Canis lupus familiaris: one gene and its partners. The protein of the gene in region 1 interacts with the protein of each later gene in a biochemical or structural test. Links are inferred from orthologs where the notes say so. Each region holds a gene or a part of one and is shown in the gene's direction. Other genes may lie near its edges.

Region 1 (7,720 bases):
TCATTCTAAGTATGATAAGCCTTTGAAGGTTTTAAGCAGGGTAATGACATGATCTGGTTTACAATAGAAGATTATTCAGCCAGCTGTATGGAGAACTCATTACAGGCAGAGAGCCATTTTCTTCATCAGCACCCAAAGTGCTTGTGGCTGATGAGCTTCTCAGGGGGTACAAAAAGGTTGGGGAGGGGTGCATGGGGGGGGATTCCACAACGCAGAAAGAAAACCACAAAGTTGGAACGAATAAGTATTTAATTAAATACTTAGAAAATTACATCATGGCAACTTCATTAAATTTAGTATTCACATAAACAGTTGAATTACATTTGGAAATAACTTGAAAATTAGATTTTTTCAGTCACAAAAACTCACAAGTATGCCCAACGGCTGCCAAGAAATCATAGCTAATCATAAACGGGGATCTTCCTAAAGCCAAATCACCTCAAAGGAAAAACTGTCAATATTTTTAACCACAAAACATTTTTTTAAACTTAATGTGAAATGTAGATATCCTCCCTCCACCCAAAAAAGTGCCTAGCATCATGAGGCTTTATGACTATACCACCACCACAGAGGTGGCCAGGTAAGAAATGCAAGTGGCTTGAATTGGTGCTGTTCAGGCCTACACTCTAAGACAGAACTGGGGCCAGGGGACCCTTGCAAAGGCTTCTCTGAGAAAAGCACATGTGAACAGGTAGATCTGAATGACAAGAAGGCACCAGCCATGCCAAGAGCAGGGAGAAGAGGTTCTGGTAGGGGTTCCGCACTGGAAATGCCAGGTCAGATTTGTAAGGAACCAAAAGACAGTTTGGCTGAACTGAAGTGGGAGGCAGGGGGAGGAGTGGGCAGTAAGAAACATACCACGTAGAGTCTGCAAGACAATACTGACAGTATTCCCATCCAAAGAATAGAAAACTCATAAACTCACATTTAAGAGTGATCCAATTTGTTTCAGTCCTACACTCTCCAGGAATACGGCAGCCACTTGCCACAGGGGCTTATGAACACCTGCATGCAGATGGTGCCACTGCAGCACAGAACTTGCCCCCTCACTGAATTTTTTTTTTTTTAAGACTTATTTGAGAGACACAGAGAGTAAGAAAGAGAAAGAGCGAGCACGAATGGGATGAGAGTAGAGGGAGAAGCAAACTCCCGCTGAGCAGGGAACCTGATGCAGGACTCGATCCTGGAACTCCAGGATCATGACCTGAGTTGAAGGCAGATGCTTAACCGACTGAGCCACCCAGGCACACCCCCCCCCCCCCCCCCGCCCACTGAATTCTAACTGATTAACGTTTACACTGAAAACCCTGACATGTAGTCCAGCTCCTGGAAAACTTGTAAGCATGTTGGAAACAGACAGCGTGGGCCTGTGGATCTACATTTTCAACTGCCAATTTTATGAAAACTAAAGCCAGACTGATTATTTCAGACGAAAATGCAGCTGCACAGAGCACCTGGGTGGCTCAGTGGCTGATCATCTGCCTTTGGCTCAGGTCATGATCCCAGGTCCAGGCATAGCATCCCCCTATTGGGCTCCCCACAGGGAGCCTGCTTCTCCCTCTGCCTGTGTCTCTGCCTCTCACGAATAAATAAATACAAATCTTAAAAAAAAAAAAAAAAAAAAAGTTTTTTAAACAAGAAAGAAAATGTGGCTGCAACGGAAAACCCACGGGATTTCGAAGACTTGGTACTTAGTAAAAGAATGGAAGAAAGCTCATTTGTATTTTTTATACCTGTATGTGGGCATAAGATCTTGACTATCCTGGGTTAAAGATAAAACATTAATTTCACCGTTGTGGTGTTTTTTTTTTGTTTGTTTGTTTTTTGTTTTTACTTTTTCTTAAACGTGCTCGCTAGAAAAATGTGAAGCGAGAAGTGTGGCTCGGGTCAACTTTCCACGGGTCGCGGGTGGAGGCAGAGGCTCCGGGGTCTCCCAGGCCGGGCGCGACGGCAGTCAGACCCTGACGAGGGGTGCAGACAAGTTTCTGGTTGTATTATGCAGTCACGAGCCAAGTCAGGGAGTTTTCAACGGCCCCGTTCACCGGGGCGGGGCGCCTGTGGCCCCGGGAGTTGAGTGGCAGAGGCCGGACTCCCAAGTCCTCCTCCTTACTGCGCCGTCCACCTGAAACCTCCCAGTGGCCCTCGAGGAGGCGAGAGCGGGATTCGAACCGGGCCCGACTCCCGGGGCCACGGTCCCAGAGTGCCGCGTGACCGCCGCTCCGTCTCCCCTCAGGGGTGCGACCAACGTTCACAACGGATTCCCCCGCCGCTGGGCCTGAGGGGCCGGGAGTCCCTCAGGGAAGGTCCCGGCAACGCTCACCTGCGAACGGACGCCAGGGCGACAAACGCTCCTCCTTCCCTCTCTCTCTCTCTCTCCACACGCGGCTCAAGCACGCCGGCAGCCGACTTCCGCTTCTGGGCGGCGAATCCCCAGCTAAGTATTCCTCTCTTCCCGCCCCACGACCAACCCAGCCAATCACGTCGCAGAGAATCTGCATCCGCCCTGCCAGACGCCGGCCTGCCAATCACCACGAGAGCCAGCGCCGCCCTTCCCGCCCTCTTAAGCGGGCGCCGCGCGCCACCGCTAGGCGGTTGGCGGAGCTGCCCTCCGCCGGGCTGCGTCCCCCGGAAGGGCGGGGCGAAGCGCGCACCACGCCGGTGCGGGAACCTTTGGGATTGGCCGAGAGGAGACTCGCGCTCTGCCTCCGTCTACCCCCGCCCCCAGACATCCGAGTCGGAGACGCTGGGGATTGGTTCCCGCTGGACACCCAAAAAAGCCAAGAAATGATTCCGCCTCCCTTGAGCACCCCGGCGAGGGAGCCCCACGGATTGGCCCGAGGAGTCTCGGCGCGCGCCGACCCGCGCTCCACGATTGGCTGAGGGTGTGCTCGCGCCGTCGGCGAGCGCTGACGGTGATTGGCCGGAGGGTGGGGCCGGCTATTTGAAGGAGGCGCGCGGAGCGAAGGCGCACTTCAGTCGGCGGACAGAAGAGGCGGGAGCGGTAGGGAGTAACGCTACCCCGCTGACCGCAGAGGACTCAGGCGCGGGCTCGGCCCCAGCTGTGGCCTCTGCCGCGGCCCGGCGAGGCGATGGCCAAGGTTTCTGTGCTGAACGTGGCGGTGCTGGAGAATCCGAGCCCTTTCCACAGCCCCTTCCGGTTCGAGATCAGCTTCGAGTGCAATGAGGCCCTGGCGGACGGTGAGGCTGGGCCGGTGTGGAGATACCCCTCCCCCACCCCTCCCCACCTTCCCAGACTTCCCACGAGAAACGAGCCCCCCCCATTCCCCTCCTCCCCTCCCCTTCAGCCCCAGCCTCCTTGAGAGACTGCCCCTGACACCCCTGGCCAAGCCGCCCCCGCCCCACGGTTACTCCCATTTCTCCCGCGGAGACCTCCTCATCCCCCCTCCCCCTTCCTGTGGAGCTTCTTTGACCTGCGGAGACCTCCAGTCACCCAGACTGACCCTCACAGTTATCCTTATGAGATCCCTTTCCCTCGTGGCAAGACCTTACTCGTCCCCATCTCCCCATTTGTCTCTCCGTACAGCCGGTCTCCCCTCCCTAAGCCGCATGATATTTAAAACAACCCCATCCCCACCCACTTCGGATTGTTTTCTACCCCCAAAGCACATACCCTGGACCCTGGCTTCCCACCTCCTTATCCTGGCCCCAGTTTTACCAGCTTGCGCCCACGGGGGGAAGCACGGCAGGTTTCCAGCTCCAGTCTTTCAGGATAACTTGGTCTCCCCAGTTCCCGTGCCTCCCTCCTGTCTGTGTGCTTCGATAAACACGCTCATATCTGAAGGGTGGCAACACCAGGCAAGCATCAGCCGGTTCCCACTGTCTGCCCACCAGGTTCCAGCAGATCTATTGCAGCAGTTCTTCCCACACTTTTGATGGGCTGACCCAGTCTGGGAGTTGGGGCCAGGCTGAGCCATGACGGTATCTGGCTTCAAACAATCGGCTGGGAGGTCAGAACTTTTTGTGAATCTTTTCCAAGGTGCTTTCACAGATGGACTTATTCATCTGTGCGTTATAAAGGTGGACATGGTTCTCATCTCACAGATGAGAAGACAGGAACCACAAAGAATGAAAGACCTTTCAAGTAAAGGTCTATAAAAATCGAAAATCTAAGGTTGCCCAGGGACTCTTGGCACCACTTTCAGGAGGAAGTACTCCATTAGACAGATTCTTCACTTGGTGGTTAAAGAAGAGGCAGCAGGCAGCTGGGGAGATGGGGATCTATGAGGCCATGGTGTGCTAACTAGCGCCCCTCAGTGGTAGGTGGGTGGTTTGTGGGAAAAGCCAGCCTTTTGTGTTAGTTTGGGGTTGATAAAATTTGAGATGTGTGTGCTTTTGGCCTGGGCCAATAGATCAGTCTCTCAGCTTCTCTCCTTTTTAAATTAAGGAATCTACTTGTGACTAACTATAGAATAAGCCCAGTTAAATCCTTTCTGGAACAAGCCAGGGTGTAAATAAATAATTAAAGTGTAGAATGACACTGTGGAATAAGAATTTAATTTTAAAGACAGGAGATGTAAGGAGCTAATAGGTTAAGGGATTCACAGTTCCCAGAAGGCAGGATATCAGGTTTCAAACAGCCTGTTTGTGCTCCTTGCATTTAAAAAGGGTTGCATAGTCATTATCTAGTACTTCTATTCCTAGGAAAACCCCTGCCCTATTACTTTACTAATCTGTTTATAGACTCAGAGCAGGAAAGTCAAAAGTCAACCTGCTGGTCATTATTTTTTAATAGAGAGAAATGGGCTGACTTCTCTGAGGTCACACAGCCTATCTGTAGAAGTAATGACACTAGAGTTTGTCTCTGAGTTGAGTCCAGAATTCTCTACCTTTGCTATTATAACCTGGGAAAAAAAAGAATTCATCCCTTATTTTATTTTATTTTACTTTAAGATTTTTTGTTTATTCGTGAGAGACACAGAGAGAGACAGAGGGAAAAGCAGGCTTCCTGTGGGGAGCCTGATGTGGAACTTGATCCCAGGACCCCAGGATCACAACCTGAGCCAAAGGCAGATGCTCAACCACTGAGCCATTCAGGTGTCCCTTCATCCCTTATTTTAGAAGTGGAGCATAAATAAAACTGACCAAATAATTGATTTCCACGTTGGGACGCTCTCAAAAGAAAATGAAGGGAGTGCTACTATTAATTACACCCAGACAATAAAGCTTTTGCTCAGAGAAATGGAAGTTGGAAAGCAAACTCTGGCCTGGAAATCCAGACTCTGGTTCTACCCCTAGGGCTGTCCATGACTTTGACCTGCCAACTTGCTTTCTGCCTATTCCTGGCCTTCTTCCCATGGAACAGAGAGAATCCGTTTCCTGCCTCCCAAAGAGATGGAGGGGGCCTGGCTTTAGAAGTCTCTCAGATTCTGGAGAAATCTCAGTCTCGTTACCTTGACGCTAGCAACTGAAGCTCTGACAAAAGACCCAACCCCCAATCAGTGACTGATTCTATTTCCCAAGGGGTTCTTTTTTCTCCTCAGCATCTAGAAATAGATGCTTCCTAGGCATGGGTCCACATTTAATACATTAGATGTGTTTTTCCTCTCTTCCATTGAGAAATTCAACAGCCACTGTTTGAATAAGTCATGAAACCAGATGTTCTGACCCACAGCTAACACCGTGGGCAGGCCAAGATTCATCTATATCATCTGAACACTGGCAAAGTGATAAATAGAAAAAAGCCTACTAGATAGTTTTTGTGTTGGTTTGTTTGTTTTAAGGCAGGAAACATTCTCCAGCTACTTCAATGAAAATGAACTTTTACATGCCTTCGATCAGGTTGTTAGTTTTGGTTTTGTTTTCGTACATAGTGGAAGAACATGTTGTTGACTGTTCCATTGCAAAGTTAGGGCCTAAAGACAAAATTGAATATTGTCAAGTTACCCTTGAAATTGCCTAAAAAGTTAGGCACACCGTGTTATGCATGTACAATCGCGTCCTGTATTCAGAAGGAATGAGTTTGTGCTGTACTCGTGATGGACATCCGTGGTTATATTTTAAAAATGGAGCCACTTAAGTATGCTTCTACTAAAAACGCTTCAGCAAGTTTAAGGCAATCCAGTTTTTAGGTCCTTATTTTCAAGCATCTGCTGTTTTCCATAGATGACTGTATCAGCTCCCCTATCCATTGAGTCAATATTTCTCTGTGGCCCTCGGTCAATTCTCTGGTTTCTTTTCGGCCTCTCTTGAGGGAGCCATTGCAGACCATTTGGCCGCCGGCGCAGTGCGCTTTCTCCTCCTGGTGGCACCCACACCACACCAGTCTTTGCCAGTGGTATCGAACATCCACTGCCCGTGGCCAACGCAGGGCCTGCTCTACTTTGGTGCCCTTTTTATCTACCTCCCCCCCCCCCTTGCTGCCCCAGCACATTAGCTAAATGCACACATATAGGACTCCACTGGTGGCAGAGGGAAGGCCAGGAGGAAAGCTACCAAAATAGAGAACTGTGTTAGAAAGGCAAGGACAGAGCCAGCTTGATTTTTGTTCGCCCAGAAACATGTTTTATCTAGTCATGTCACTCCTTGTAACAAAGATAAATCAGTAAACTTAACTGGTTCCTGCAAATAATAAGAGACTAGAATTGAACCCCGGTGAGCCCATGGGTCATTGTATGGCCCAGACCTGCTAACTAGGGTCCCTGCATAGAAGACCTGGGTGACACTGCAAAGGAACAGGAAATCAGTGTATCGAGGAAGAGCTTGGGGCTCGGGTGACAAACCTCCGGAGCTGTGGCCCAGCATAGCGGTGTTTACCAAGTTGGATGCTCTTGTGGGACACCAGACCAGGGCAACTTCAACAACACTTTGCTTCCTGTGAAACTCATAGCTTGTGAAATTTCCTCCAGCCGCTGGAGCCACAGGTTGTGTAATTTCAAAGAACCTAAAATAAGTTTCAGGTCTCCTGCCAAGCTTCCCTGTACTAGCGTGACCTTGCCCCTGATACACTTGGACCTCCTGCAAGAGGCAGCGGTCACCGGGAATTTCCTGTACTTGATGGGCAGGGTCTCCTTCAGCACTGTTCCTCTCACCTTGCTGGAACATACTCAGGGATGAGATTCCCCACCACCACCACTTTGTTGGGATGCAAGAGAGGCGGGGTTCAGAGGATCACCCTAGGATGCCACATTTGTTGACTGAGTCGCTGTCACCCAAATGTCTGAAAGTAGGCATGAGTTGGTGCTGGAACTGGAAGACCTGGAGACTGGCTGGCTCCCCCTGTGGCCTCGTCTTCCCCCTCCTGCCGGCTGGCTCTCCTGCTAGATTGGAATCTGCTGCCCTGCCCCAGTTGTCGAGGGATCTATTCAGTTTGGTGGCACCGGTCCCTGTGTGTGAAAGAGGATGCTGCTTCCTATCCCAGCACCCAGTGGGCAGGGCCCTGAAATGGCCCAATTCCCTGCTGTCCCTCCTCTGCACGCCTCTGTCACGTGGCTCCTAATTCAACCTCTGCCATACGGTTCACCCTCAGGCTCTGAGATCCCCAAGTTATCCCAAAGATGCAGGGTCAGGGTCACCCAGCAAAGCTAGGCTCACGAGAGAAATTTCCCCACTAGAAGTAGAGTTTCATGCCCCCTTCAGTGTTTAGGATGGTGGTGCCTGGCACTTACTCCCCAGCAGATGTCAGGCATTCTTGAGAATAAAAATCTTTCAATATATTAAGTATCTGTCCAAAACTCAACACAAGACCTTCCCCTGCCTTCAT
Region 2 (6,218 bases), on another chromosome or scaffold:
CTAATACTTTATTAGAAAATTGGGGTTCCTGGGTGGCACAATTGCTTGGGTGTCTGACTCATGATTTTGGCTCAGGTCATAATCTCAGGGTTGTGAGGGCCAGCTGCTATGCCCCCCTCCCCCGCCAGCTTGTTGCTCAGTGAGGAATCTGCCGAAGATTCTCTCTCTCCCTTACCCTCTGCCCCTCCCCCCTTGATCCCTGTTCAGTCTTGCATTGCACACTTGTGTTCTCTCTCTCTCCCCTTCTCTCTTTCCCTCTCTCTCAAGTAAATAACATCTTTTGGGAGGCAAAAAAAAAGAGAAAATAGCACATTGGGGGCACAGATGAAGCCACTAAGTAGCCCTAGCTCTTCCCCCCCGCCCCCCTCTGTCCTTACTTCCTCTGCTGTTTCCTTTTCCATCTCTCTTTACCTGTGTCTTGGGTCTGCCAGTGGCACACGTATGTAGTACTTAAGCCTACAGGTATCATTCAGGGCAGAAGAGGTTGCTGGTTCCTGCTGCAATGTTCTTGGCTATAAGCAAAGCTGAACAGAGGTGTTATGACATGGCCGATGCTGCTTCTAGTCCCAGCTCTGCCTTAATCTTGATGTTGCACCGTGAATATGTTACTTCAATTCTGAACCTTTCCACCCCTCACCTGAAAAAAGCAAGAGTTAGAGGAGACCATCTTCGAAGTTCTTTCTAGCAGTTCTCACTGAGGCATGTCTTCTTTCCCTTCTCCGTGGTTTTGAATTGTGTTCTCTTTCATCTTAACAAGAGGCCCACCTCTGTTTTGTTTTTGTATGATAGCCTTTTGGCCACAACCAGTCCCAGCAAGATATTCTACAAGAAAATACGATTCTTAAAGCTACTGAAGTGCAGTTCCCGCCAAAGCCAGTAGTAACACCAGAAGCAAAGGTAAGCTGTAACCCACTGGCCAGCAGGAAACGACTGCTTTGCTTTCTGTATTAGTTCTCTGGGTAATAGTGGATGGATTATCAGTATAAACAGATCCATCTTAGATGGTGAAAAATAAATGCAAGAAAGGATATGGAGGGGCGGGAATTCATTTTTTGCTGGCTTGGTCAGGGAAGGCTTCAGTGAAGTGATATGTTGAGCAGTCTTGAATGATGTGAAAGGTATAAGCCATGTGTAGGTTTGGGAGAATGTTCTAAGCCAGAGAAATGTGTGAAGCTGAGATGCAAGTGCAAGCTTAGCAGATCCACAGAGCTGGTGGAGCGGAGGGAAGGGTGGTGGGTAGGAGAGGTAGCAGGGCAGATGGTAAACTGAGATGGAAATACTTGAAGGTGTTACTCAGGACAGCTATGTGATCTGATTGCCGTTTCAAAGGCCTGTGTAGAGAAAAAATGCAAGATGGAATTATTTGACCAGTAACTATCTTGTCCAACCTAAGGTAATTCATTTAACTCTCCTTTCACATCTCACTAGGAAGCATTCTTTTTTTTTTTTTAAGATTTTATTGATTTATTCATGAGAGGCACAGAAAGAGAGGGACAGAGACACAGGCAGAGGGAAAAGTGGGCTCCCCACAAGGACCCTAATGTGGGACTCAATCCTGGATCCCAGGATCACACCCTGAGCCAAAGGCAGGAAGACGCTTAACCACTGAGCCACCCAGGCATCCCAGAAAGCATTCATTTTTTAAGGCCAAGGATCATGAAGCTTATTTCTGTGACTTGAATCAAGCAGCTACCTATAGGTGTTTTTGGTTTGGGAAAACCAGGATTGTTGCTATACTTTTGTCCTTTATTAATTAAACATGGGAAAAAGAAAAATCATTACATCTCATGTTTATATTTTTAATGGATTTTTTAGACTATATTTTTAGACTGTATTTTTTAGAGCAGTTTTAGATTCACAGCAACACTGAACAAAGTAAAGAGTTTCCATGTATTCCCTGTCCTTCCACATGCACAGCCTCCTCCACTGTCAACATCCTGCACCAGAGTGGGACATTGGTTATAATCAATAGACCTATATTACAACATTATTATCATTCAAATATAAAGTATGGCCTGAAGGTGATAATGACATTTTAGATTTTTAAAAATCAGTTCATTTATTTAAAATAATTAGGAGACTCTGATTAAACAGAACTCTCTACTTAAAAAATAGGAAAAGCTAGATCATCTGCTTGAGGGCCTTTGTGATAAGAATTGTAAATACTGAGCCAGTGGGGCCCTTCACACCTAGCACAAGGAAACTTCCATGTTGGTAGTCAATTAGGATTCTGAATGAAACCAAACTCTGTATGATTCCAGGTCTGTAGTCCTCGTGGGGAGACAAGTCCTATGCAGGTTTTCCTTTACTACCTAGGTGTGTGTGCACCTAATCATTTGCTTGATGATCTTTCAAGCAAGAATAAGATTCACCAATCTGTGACACACTGCAGTGTTAGTGTCAGTCTCCTCACCCTCTCTGTGGTGGTGGCTTGTCATCACAAGTTTTCACTTCCTTAGGAAGTAGAAAGTTCACATGAGGCTATGGTTTGTACACACAGGACCATGAGAGTAGATGTGCCTGGGTAAACTGACCAAGGCAGAAAGAGTGGTTTTTGTGTGGGTCTTTGTGCTTTGGGAGCAGAGATATTTAGAGGTCAGGTGGTGCCCTGTTTCCCCTCAGGAATGGCTTGGCCACCTCTTTCGGGGAAGTAGTCTGTGGCCACGGAGTGGTGCTGCTGCCCGTGCATCTCCTTGCCTGGTCCTGTCTGCGTGTGCCCAGTGACTCCTGGGAAGGGCCTGGAGCCCCTTCTCTGTAGAAGACTTCAGCTCCGGGCCCTGGGCCCTGGCAGCTGCTGCAGAGCCTCAGGGTTCACCCCAGGGGCGCCATGATTATGTGCCTCAGGCTTCTTCATGAATCTTTCTTTTCAGGCGTTTATTCGACGATGCTTAGCCTACCGAAAGGAGGACCGAATCGACGTTCAGCAGCTGGCCTGTGACCCCTACTTGCTGCCTCACATCCGAAAGTCGGTCTCCACGAGTAGCCCTGCTGGAGCTGCTATCGCATCAACATCAGGGGCGTCCAATAATAGTTCTTCAAATTGAGACCCACTCCTAGGCCGTGAACTGTTCAGCACACACAAGTGGACAAATGGCATTCAGCAGCGGGTTTGGAACATAGCGAATCCGAATGGATCTCATGAAACCTGTACCAGGTGCTTTTATTTTCTTGCTTTTTTCCCATCCATAGAGCATGACAGCATCGATTCTCATTGAGGAGAAACCTTGGGCAGCTCTGGCCAGGCCTCGTAGGAAAAGGCCCCGCCCGAGGTTCCGGCGTCAACGGCCACTATGTGTGGCTGCTCTGAGTGAGGAAAAAATTAAAAAGAAAAACTGGTTCCATGTACTGTGAACTTGAAAACATGCAGACTCAGGGGGGTCCCTGATGCAGTGCTTCAGATGAAGAATGTGGACTTGAAAATACAGACTGGGCTAGTCCAGTGTCTATATTTAAACTTGTTCTTTTCTTTTAATAAAGTTTAGGTAACATCTCCTGAAAAGCTTGTAGCACAAAGGCTCAGCTGGGGATGGTGTTTGACTTCGGAGGAAAAAAGTTGCTATTGCCCGTTAAAGGCACTAGAGTTAGTGTTTTATCCCTAAATAATTTCAATTTTTAAAAACATGCAGCTCCCCTCCCCCCCTCTTTTTTATTTTTGAAAGAATACATTTGGTCATAAAGTGAAACCCGTATTAGCAAGTACGTGGCAATGTTCATTCCAGTCAGATGCAGCTTTCTCCTCCGTCTGGTCTCCTGTTTGCAATCGCTTCCCTCATCTCAGCAGGGAAAGCATCGAGTGGGAGGACTGAGGTGTGTGGGGCTTTTGCCGTCGGACAAAGAACGAGGTTAGAAGCCCGCAGCTTGGAGTCTCTAGGTTTTCAACTCTTCACAATTTGAACACTTGACGGTTGTCCCTTTTAATTTATTTGAAGTGCTATTTTTTTAAATAAAGGTTCATCTGTCCATGCAGTCCTCTTGGATTCTCTGAATGTAGTAACTATGAAAAACTGTTCCAGAGGTAGGCAGAAAATGGGCCAGGGAGCCAGATGCTCCAGGGATCAGGAGGTCCTACCCACGGTCTCTGTGTGCTTGCTAAGTGGTGTACCTTTCTTGTTAACCACGATATTAAAACTTGATCAGCTCATAAGCTTTCCTCTGTTAGATCTTTTGGCAGGAAACAACCTCCAACCCTCTAAATTTTGTGGGTGTGTGCTGGTGTGTGTGTCTGTGTGTGCATGTGCACATGCACACACGCTTTGTCTAACTCACTTTAATAGAATGATCAAGTGGAGTTAAAGAATCGCAGGGAGATAGGTATTTTGAATATGAACATTCTTTTGGAACTTAAGGTTTTATTATTTTTTTTTCCATTTGGTTGTTTCTGAGATGTGTGATCAACTGAAGACGGAGCTGAAATGGGAGATGCATGGCCCCACCATGCCCTTGAAACAGCAGAGCACTCAACAGTAGAGAGGGGAGGAGACCAGAGCCTGAGCATGTGGTAGCCAGCTTGGAATGTTACTGACATATGTGGCAAGAGGGCTCAGCCAGAAATATTTAAAGATGCAGCATTCAGGCATGCAAGTTCCCTGGGCAGGGGGAGGGAAGTCAGGAAGGGTAGAGAGCTCTCAAATAATTCTAGCCTTCTTTCAAGTGTGAAAAATGTCACTGGTGACACTTTCACTGGCACCTGTGTTGGTTTTGTGGCTCTGCCCTGCCCCAGTCCCCTCAAGGCCAGGTGATCTCAGGGGAGGATGGAGTGATCCCAGTTGGAGAGATTATGCCAGGTAGGGACTATCTTACAGAACTCTGAATGGAAGGAAGTCAGTCCCGGAGCCCTTGGTACCCCCAGCTTTCCAAGTTATCACAGATAATTTTTTCGCCAGATTTCCATTTTATTGTGTTTATACACTTGTTACATACTTGATATACATGTGTGGGAGGGAGTACCTTTTTTTAACCATGACTTTCAAGCTATTAAGCAGAGGTCCCTGTGGGTCTCAGAGGTTGAACGGAGCCCTGGAAGGATGGTATGTGCATATGTGAAGAGATGGATGAGTCGAGACTAACTCAAGAGTATTAAGTTCTATTCCTTGTTTTTTTCTTCTCAGTCATTGATCTTGCAAGACCTTTTTTAAAAACAAAACAAAACAAAAAACCTTTTTTTAAGGTTGAAAGAATGCTGCATCTTTAAGCCTTCCCTCTAACTTCCTGCCTCCTTCTCCCCATGGGCTTGTAAGTGGAGCTACAGGACTTTATTTGTTGATCTACCTTTTCTGCCCTCGTCCTGAAGAAGGTATGCCCTCTCTCCTCAATTCCCTTGGGTCTAGGGCCTGGTTGGAGCTCACTAGGCTTGCTTGAGTCTGGGCAAGGCCTCTTTCCACTACATGGACTAGCCCCAGAGAACATGCAGAATGTGGACTTTTTCTAGATTTTTCAGTAGCCAATGAAATCACTAAGTGGGGTTCTTCCATGACATTTTGTTAATATGGGTTTCACTTTTTCCAAGGATAATCCCTTATTGCCACAATTGATTTACTTTCAACAATGACAAAAAAAAATGTATTAATTTGTAATTAAACCCAGCCAGACTGTTTTGGACTTTCCCAACTTGGGGGGTGGGGGTGGGTGGGAAGGATATTAAAATAAGTTTTAAGAAGTGAATCTCCCAGCCTCTTGATTTTACTCTAGTTCTTCAGCTTTAAACAGGGTTCTTAGCATCCAGGGGGGTGAGTAGGTAGGGAAATCCTGCAGCTGAGTCCCAGTGGACTTTGCAGGCATGTTGGCAATGTGTTGATTCCTACAACACCTTTTGTAGTTCCACTGTGCCAGTAACGAAAGCTTGTTGGTGGGAAGACAGCAGTGAATAGGACAGGGAAGTCCTAGCTGTTAGCACACAATCCAGGGGTGAAGGCTCTGGGCCCCAAGAAGGGAAGGAAAACAGGTCTTTGATGGGAGGGAATTGGGCTCCGACTTCCCCAACAGAAGATGGGGCAGCTCTACATGAAACTTGCCCTTGAGAGCCAAGCATACCCCACTTTTGTGGCTGACCCAGACACACCGGCTAACTGCCTTAGAGGATTTGTGGCCCTCCTTCCTCTAGCACTGAGGATAGGTTTTCCTTCAGCTGAGAAGATAAGCAGGCAAGGAGCTCTTGTGTTTCTTAATTTAGAAAATAATATTCTTTAAACATAGTCATTTGTAGAATCCTAGAGCTAGAA
Region 3 (7,571 bases), on another chromosome or scaffold:
GAGGCAGAGACACAGGCAGGCTCCATGCACCGGGAGCCCAATGTGGGATTCCATCCCGGGTCTCCAGGATCGCGCCCTGGGCCAAAGGCAGGCGCCAAACCGCTGCGCCACCCAGGGATCCCACCTTCCTATCCTTTAATAATGTTTTATTAGAACATATTCTGACTTCAGATTATTCCAGAGTATTCACACTTAGAAAAGGAAACTAATAGTAAAGTGCATTCAGAGAAATCTTTGTTTTCGCAGTCAGATTAAGAGTTAGCCCCTTTATATTAATTTTCACTATAAAAAAGTTCTCAGGAAACCAAATACCCGTGGTCCCTTTAGAGTGATGCAGTTGTGCTAAAATCAGTGCTTGAGGCCCAAAGTAAAGTTCATTGATTGTTGAAACATCTAGCTGGAATCACTTGCAGTAGAACTTGGTGCAAATCTCTGAGGTCTCCTCCAGCAAACACTTTCCTTCCGTACTTCTTTTTTGAAAACTTGACAACTTTTTTTTTTTTTTTTAATTTTTGATCCTCACTTTGGGCCACCATGTGGCTCCCCAGGCAGGCACTGACATCAAGCCCCCCAGATTTTCACCAAGAAAGCCAACTCCTTCATGTATATTTAGTATCTAAACCTGTGTCTTTTTTTTTTATTATTTTTTTTTAATCTATAGTTTAGAATCCTGGCACTCAAAGGAGATGGTCAGAGGAGTCATCTGAGAATCAACAGCGTTTGTCAGAAATGTGGAGACACCTGGTGGTTATCAGAGACATTGAACCCTTGGTTCCAGACCAGACTGATTATCACTCACCTGGGATCTTGAGAAAATGCAGCCTCCCTACCAGGAGCGCCTCCTGCTGGATACTCTGAATCAGTGGGCCTATGTAGGGCCAGGAATCTGTACTTTTAAAACAGCCAGATTATCTACATTAGTCATTCCCAGTCCAAAGTCTTAGCCATGATTTAAGAGAGAAGATCTAAAAGCTACGTATCTGGATCACATTATCTTAGCTTCCTTGTAGAAGTCAGGCTTAAGGAGACTCCAGTCATTCCCTTCAATATGAGACATCCATTTACAGACAACTTCTATACCTTTCATAAAATTGGCTAAGAGCATCAACCAGCATTTATATAAGAATCCATGTCATTCTTTTTCCTAAAAAAAAAAAAAAAAAAAAAAAAAAAAAGAAGAGCTGGTTCCTCAGATGAGCCTAAATGTTCCTTTTATCAAGTAAAAGCTATGCATCCCAAGGTATTTGTTTCCTGGCCTTCCGAGAAGCTCACAGATAAATTGTCCCATTTGGAAAATTATCCCACTTCTAAAATCCTGTTGCATCTAGTTCTGCCTTCTGATTTACAACCTTACTTGAAAATGTTAAATTGTGTTTCTAACAAGTGTTTATGACCCTATCTGCTCATTGCAGTATAATGTAAGCAATCCAGGTATAGAATGACCCCATAGCATGAACTTTCCAAAACGTTCTAAAAGCCAGTATATATAAGAAACAAAATTCTCAATTTTTGTTTGCAAAAGGAAGAATAAACCTGGTTAAATTCAAGGTCAGTGATGCCCAGGGAGGGGGGCGGAAGGGGAGGGAGGGAGGGAGAAGAGGGGAGAGGTGGGAAGTGGGAGAGCCACCAGGGAGGCTGGCAGGCTCTCTTCTTCAAGGTTGCACAGAGCAGCACTTGTTTTACAAAGTCCCTTGGTCTTGAAGCCCCAGAAACCTGCTGTTAGCACAAGAAGAGAGTCCATCTGTCATTTTGTCTTAACCAAGCTCTCAGATTAACATATACTGGATTCCAGTTAATTTAGAATGAGAAAATTGCCTTTGAGACACATATATCCATTGGACCTGCTCATTCACATCTGAATGCTTCTGGGCTTTTGCCCCCATCCACCCTTTCCCATCACGGATCCCACTGCTCCCCCTTTGTGCCTCTGTTGTCAATTGTGAGTTTCTTTAGCTTAAATTCCCATTTCCCAGAGCTGCTCATCCAAAACTCTATTACCCGAAGCCCCTTAAAAAAAAAAAAAAAGATTTTATTTATTCATGAGAAACACAGAGAGGCAGAGACATAAGCAGAGGGAGAAGCAGGCTTCTTGTGGGAAATCTGATGCGGGACTTGATTCCAGGACCCTGGGATCACGACCTGAGCCGAAGGCAGACACTCAACCACTGAGCCACCCAGATACCCCCCAAGCCCATTTTAAATGCCCTCTTCTCTTCAAACTTGCCTTGAGCCTTCAAATCCAAAATAAGCGCGCCCTCGGAACTGTAGAGAGCACGTTGTTCCTTCCACACTCCCTTTTTCCCTCCACACTTTTTTTTTTAAAGTTACATTTAAAAAATGTACCTGACTACAGGAGGCCCGTAAACACTCTCTGTGTTTTACTGATGCTTGGAACTCCAGAGAGGGCGACGGGGCCTGATGCAGGTCACAGACACTCGCTGTGAAAGAGCACCTGTGACAGAAGGGATGGTCATGGGCGGGTCTCAGAGTTCCAGCCTCCCCACCTGGGTGATAGGACCACTCTTCCTTCTACTGGACTGTGAACTCCCGGAGGGTAAGTCTCACTGCATATCCAGCACCGGAGGGCAGCCCGGGTGGCTCAGCGGTTTAGCACCTGCCTTTGGCCCAGGGCGTGATCCTGGGGACCCAGGATCGAGTCCCACATCAGGCATCCTTGCAGGGAGACTGCTTCTCCTTCTCCCTCTGCCTGTGTCCTCTGTGTGTGTGTGTGTGTGTGTGTGTGTGTGTGTGTGTGTGTGTCTCATCCTGAATGAATAAAAAAAAAAATCTTTAAAAAAAAACCCTATTAAAAAAAAATAATAATAAATTAAAAAAAACCCTATTATCCAGCACCGGAATAGGGTCCAGCATCCTGCAGATGCCCAGTAAATGTCTGCTGAAAGAACTCATGGAGAAGGGAAGAAATGATTGAATGAATGGGTCGATGAACTCATCCACTCCTCCCCGCGAGGCCTCGGTCGTGCACGTAATTATATCGGCGGGAGTCGGCGGGGATTCCGAGCACCCGCGGGCCGGGGCAGGGGGCGGAGCGCCGAGTGACCCCGCCCACAAGGGGGCGGGGCGGGAGGATAGCCCCTCCCACAAAGGGGCGGGCCCCGCGGAAGTCCCGCCCACGAGGAGGCGGGGCCTGTGGCGCGCGGGAAGAAGCGCAAGCGGCGGCGGGAGCTGGAGGCGCAGCCGAGCGACCGCGGCCCTGCAGGTACTGCTCCCGGGCGCTGGCTCCCGCGGCCCCCGGCCTCCCGTTGGGGCCGCACGGGCGGCGAGAGGGTCTCGCTGAGGGCGGGCGGCCGGGGGCCGGGCGGAGCTGCGGGGCGGCGCGCGTTCGGGCGGCGCCGTGCGGCCTCCTCCCGGCCGGGCCCGGTCTCGGCTTCCCGAGCGCTCCGGGAGCCCCTCCCCGCGGCGGCCGCAGCCCCAGCCCCTGCCCGGGCGGCGCCTGGCTCCCCGGGAGCGCCCCGGGCCCACGGAGCGGGGCGGCCGCGCAGCAGGGCGGGGCCCGGGATTCCCTCGGCCCGGCTCCCCGGCTCCCCGGCTCCCCGGCTCAGGTGCCCTTGCGGAGGGGTTCGGGGAGAGGGCGACGCTGCCACCCGTCCCCGTCCCCGTCCCGGTCCCCGGCGCCCTGACTGCCGAGCGGGCTCCCCGCGCCTGCCCCCCGCTAACACTCCCTTCATCCCCGACGGCTTTCAGCGTTTCCTCCGCCTTCGGGGGCGGATTTGTTTCGGCCCCTTCCAGACCCGGCAGCATGAAAGTCATCACTTGCGAAATAGCCTGGCACAACAAGGAGCCGGTGTACAGCCTGGACTTCCAGCACGGCGCGGCGGGCAGGATCCACAGGCTGGCGTCGGCGGGCGTGGACACCGCCGTCAGGGTGAGCGGCCGGGGCGGGCCGGGGCGGGCCGGGGCGGGGCGGGGCGGGCCGGGGAGGCCCCGCTGAAGCGCCCTAGGGCCTCCCTTCCTGTGTGTGCTCAAAACCTGTGTCTGCAGACTCAGGCCGCCCTGCCCCCGAGCCCAGGCTGCAGACCGGTTCTCAGGCCCGCGACTGAACCGTGAGGGCACAAGAAAGCTTTATTCCTTGGCCAGTGCTTCCTAGATGGATACACTGCATGCTCCTTATTTGATTATTATTATTATTTTTTAAGATTTTATTTAATTATTCATGAGAGAGGGAGAGAGGGAGAGGGAGGCTCCATGCAAGGAGCCCGACGTGGGACTCGATCCTGGGACTCCAGGGTCAGGCCCTGGGCTCAAGGCAGCGCTAAACCGCTGAGCCACCCGGGCTGCCCTATTTTTATTTTTATTTTTATTTTTTTAAAGATTTTATGTATTTATTCATGAGAGACGCAGAGAGAGAGGGAGAAGCAGGCTGGGATCACAACCTGAGCCAAAGGCAGGTGCTCAACCAACTGAGCCACCCAGGTGCCTCCGATGCAGATCGTTTTAGAATCCAGAGCCAGGGATCCCCCGGGTGGCGCAGCGGTTTAGCGCCTGCCTTTGGCCCAGGGCGCGATCCTGGAGACCCGGGATCGAATCCCACATCGGGCTCCCGGTGCATGGAGCCTGCTTCTCCCTCTGCCTATGTGTCTGCCTCTCTCTCTCTCTGTGTGACTATAATAAATAAATAAATAAATAAATTTTGTATATATATATAAAAAAAAAAATCCTGAGCCAGTTCCTAGTGGGAACACTTGGCCCCAGAAAGAGGTAGGAGGGAGGGTAGCAAGTCATGGGACTGTCGACATATCAGATGGAAATTCCATTTTACGTGTATCCAAAGAAAAGCTATTTCCTTCCCAAAAACTAGCCTGGTATTGTTTTGGTAAGTGTTTATAGTGTTTAACAGTGTGGTAGGTATTCACTCTGTGTGTCTCGGAATGAACGTTTTGGTTATCGACAGATCTGGAAGGTGGAAAAAGGACCCGATGGAAAGGCCATTGTTGAATTTTTGTCCAACCTTGCTCGCCATACCAAAGCTGTCAATGTCGTGCGTTTTTCTCCAAATGGGGAAATTTTAGCATCAGGAGGAGATGGTGAGTATTAGTATTATCCTTCACAATTCCTTAGAAACCAGATACCGTTCTGTCTCGTGTTAAATAGTGAGATCTGAGCTAGGTACGCTTTTTGATTTTTGAGGTCACTTGACCTCTCGATCCGTCATTTATTTATTTATTATTTTTAAAAAATTTTTTGAGAGAGAGAGAGGGAGTTGATGAGCAGGGGGGAGGGGTAGAAGAAGAAGCAAGCTTCCGGATGATGTCGGACTGGATCCCAGGACTCTGGGGTCATGACCTGAGCTGAAAGCAGACACTTAACAGACTAAGCTATCCAGGCACCCTCAATCCGTCATTTAGATAGTTCAGTAAAATAGCGTTCTGAGGAGCTTGAGGGGATGGAGGACCAAAAGCTTAACCTGAGCAGAGCTATTTATAAATGGCCGCTCCTCCACCCCACTCGTAGGGACCAGTAGGAAGGTGCTTACCATTTTGTCAAAGTCCCAATGCAGCCCTCCTGGCCTTGTTTGATTGCTGGTTTAGTATCCAAGTGATCATAGTCTTTCCCATGTCTTTGTGTGATTAATTTCTTTACAGATTTTACTTATTTATTCATGAGAGACACAGAGTCTAGAGTATTGTCTAGAGAGAGAGAGAGAAAGAGAGAGGCAGGGACACAGGCAGAGGGAGAAGCAGGCTCCATGCAGGGAGCCTGATGTGGGACTCGATCCTGGGACCCCAGGATCACAGCCTGGCCTGAAGGCAGGGGCTAAACTGCTGAGCCACCCAGGGATCCCCTCTGTGTAATTAATTAATTCACCTGACGGAGTATTATCTGAATGGCCCTCTAATTTATGTTTGCTTGGTGGAAGTAGAATGATTCATATTTTCTGCTTGTGTTTAAATGGCATTAAACTACTACAAAAAAAAGTAAATCTTTTTTACTGTGTTTTGACACCGAAACAGTCTAGAAGTTAGTACAAAATAAAACACATCACAGGTTTTTGTTTGCAGAAGGAAGAAAGAGATCTGGTTAAGTCCAGTGCCACAATGTCCAGAGTGTGTGGCACAGAGAGATGGAAGGTGGGGAGCGTCACTGGGGGAGGCTGGCAGGCTATCTTCTGTGAGGTTGCACAGGGGAGCTCTCGTTTTGCCAAGTCCTTTGGCCCTAGAGGGTCAGAAACCTGCTGTTAGCAGTGGAGAGTGTCCACCTGTCAATGTCGAGGCTGATCTCTTCACCCAGCTCCCAGGATTACAGCTTAGCGTGAGCACACTTGTGCCCATACAGCCAGCTCAGTCACTGTCCTGCTGGCACTCAGAGTGAAGCTGCACGGGGCTCCGACTTGTGTGGTGAGTTGGGGTCCCAGCACAGGGAGTTAGAGCCCCCAGACAATTGATGACAACAGGCTGAGATATCTGATGTGTCCGTGGGCTCACTGTGTGCTAGGCATCATGTTGTGCTTCATACATATTAACTTATCGAATACTCTAGACAGAGTAGACAATACTCTAGACTCTAGATAGTCCGTGAGGTAGGTATGCATTTTACAGATGGGGTAGCTGAGGAGTCTAGATGCTAAGGCCTGCGGACATAGCTGGGAACGATTTGCCAATCCTTGCTTGGTGGCTCTTTGTTTCCGCCTATTCAGCTGCTCCTGGGTTATGCCTTAGGATGTGTTAACATAGTCAGCTGCTCTGCAGCGGTATTTTGCTGGCCTGGGGACCCTTCTGTTTAATAGGCCTTTGTATAGCTCTGATCGGGTATCAGTTTGATTTTGGAGTTTTAGATTAGAAGGCAGATTGTCCAGATTCTTACAAGTCACTCATTGTGACCACAGTATCTGTTGGACAATGTAACTAGGGTTTGGTTTTTTTTTTTTAAGATTTTATTTATTCATTCATGAGAGAGAGAGAGAGAGAGAGAGGCAGAGACACAGGGAGAGGGAAAAGTAGGTTCCCTGCAAGGAACCCGACATGGGACTCGATCCCGGGTCTCCAGGATCACGCCCTGGACTGAAGGCGGTGCTAAACTGCTGAGCCACCCGGGCTGCCCGTAACTAGGGTTTTAACACCGTAGCAGCCCAGAAAGGAGGGAGCCTGCAAAAACCATGGCTCATCTGTAACCAAATTGCTCCGCAGATGCTGTCATTCTGTTGTGGAAGGTGAATGACAACAAGGAGCCAGAACAGGTTGCTTTCCAGGATGAGGATGAGGCTCAGCTGAATAAGGAGAATTGGACTGTTGTGAAAACCCTGAGGTAACTTGGGGAGGGGCTAGACGAGTGCTTTATCTGACATCTCTAAATGGATTCAACTACATGCATTGGGTCTTGAACTCACAAGAGTTCTTTTTTCTTTTCTTTACTTATCTTTCTTTTTTTAGAGAGGGAGTGGGTGGTAAAAGAGAAGGAGAATCTCAAGCAGGCTGCACACCCAGCTTGGAGCCCAGCACAGGGCTCGATCTCACGACCCTGAGATCCTGACCTGAGCCCAAACCCCAGAGTCTGACACTTAACCCACTGAGCCACCCAAGTGCCCCAAAATGGGTTTTATTTCTGCTGTAAAA

Evidence for each region.
Region 2: of the proteins of ASF1B (region 1) and TLK2, one has a biochemical effect on the other in vitro, tested with the Homo sapiens proteins (3 studies listed by BioGRID). The link is inferred for Canis lupus familiaris from reciprocal best matches to the Homo sapiens genes ASF1B and TLK2.
Region 3: the proteins of ASF1B (region 1) and CHAF1B form a complex in vitro, tested with the Homo sapiens proteins (2 studies listed by BioGRID and IntAct). The link is inferred for Canis lupus familiaris from reciprocal best matches to the Homo sapiens genes ASF1B and CHAF1B.

Annotation. Positions count from the first base shown.
Region 1 is NC_049241.1:48,794,018-48,801,737, forward strand, and holds the start of ASF1B (histone chaperone ASF1B), read left to right. Parts: upstream 1-2,621; 5' UTR 2,622-3,089; coding exon 3,090-3,198; intron 3,199-7,720. UniProt on the Homo sapiens protein: Histone chaperone that facilitates histone deposition and histone exchange and removal during nucleosome assembly and disassembly. Cooperates with chromatin assembly factor 1 (CAF-1) to promote replication-dependent chromatin assembly.
Region 2 is NC_049230.1:16,118,482-16,124,699, reverse strand, and holds the end of TLK2 (serine/threonine-protein kinase tousled-like 2), read left to right. Parts: intron 1-789; coding exon 790-897; intron 898-2,870; coding exon 2,871-3,044; 3' UTR 3,045-3,966; downstream 3,967-6,218. UniProt on the Homo sapiens protein: Serine/threonine-protein kinase involved in the process of chromatin assembly and probably also DNA replication, transcription, repair, and chromosome segregation. Phosphorylates the chromatin assembly factors ASF1A and ASF1B.
Region 3 is NC_049252.1:31,270,452-31,278,022, forward strand, and holds the start of CHAF1B (chromatin assembly factor 1 subunit B), read left to right. Parts: upstream 1-3,112; 5' UTR 3,113-3,220; intron 3,221-3,705; exon of another isoform or gene 3,706-3,750; 5' UTR 3,751-3,760; coding exon 3,761-3,886; intron 3,887-4,912; coding exon 4,913-5,045; intron 5,046-7,145; coding exon 7,146-7,263; intron 7,264-7,571. UniProt on the Homo sapiens protein: Acts as a component of the histone chaperone complex chromatin assembly factor 1 (CAF-1), which assembles histone octamers onto DNA during replication and repair.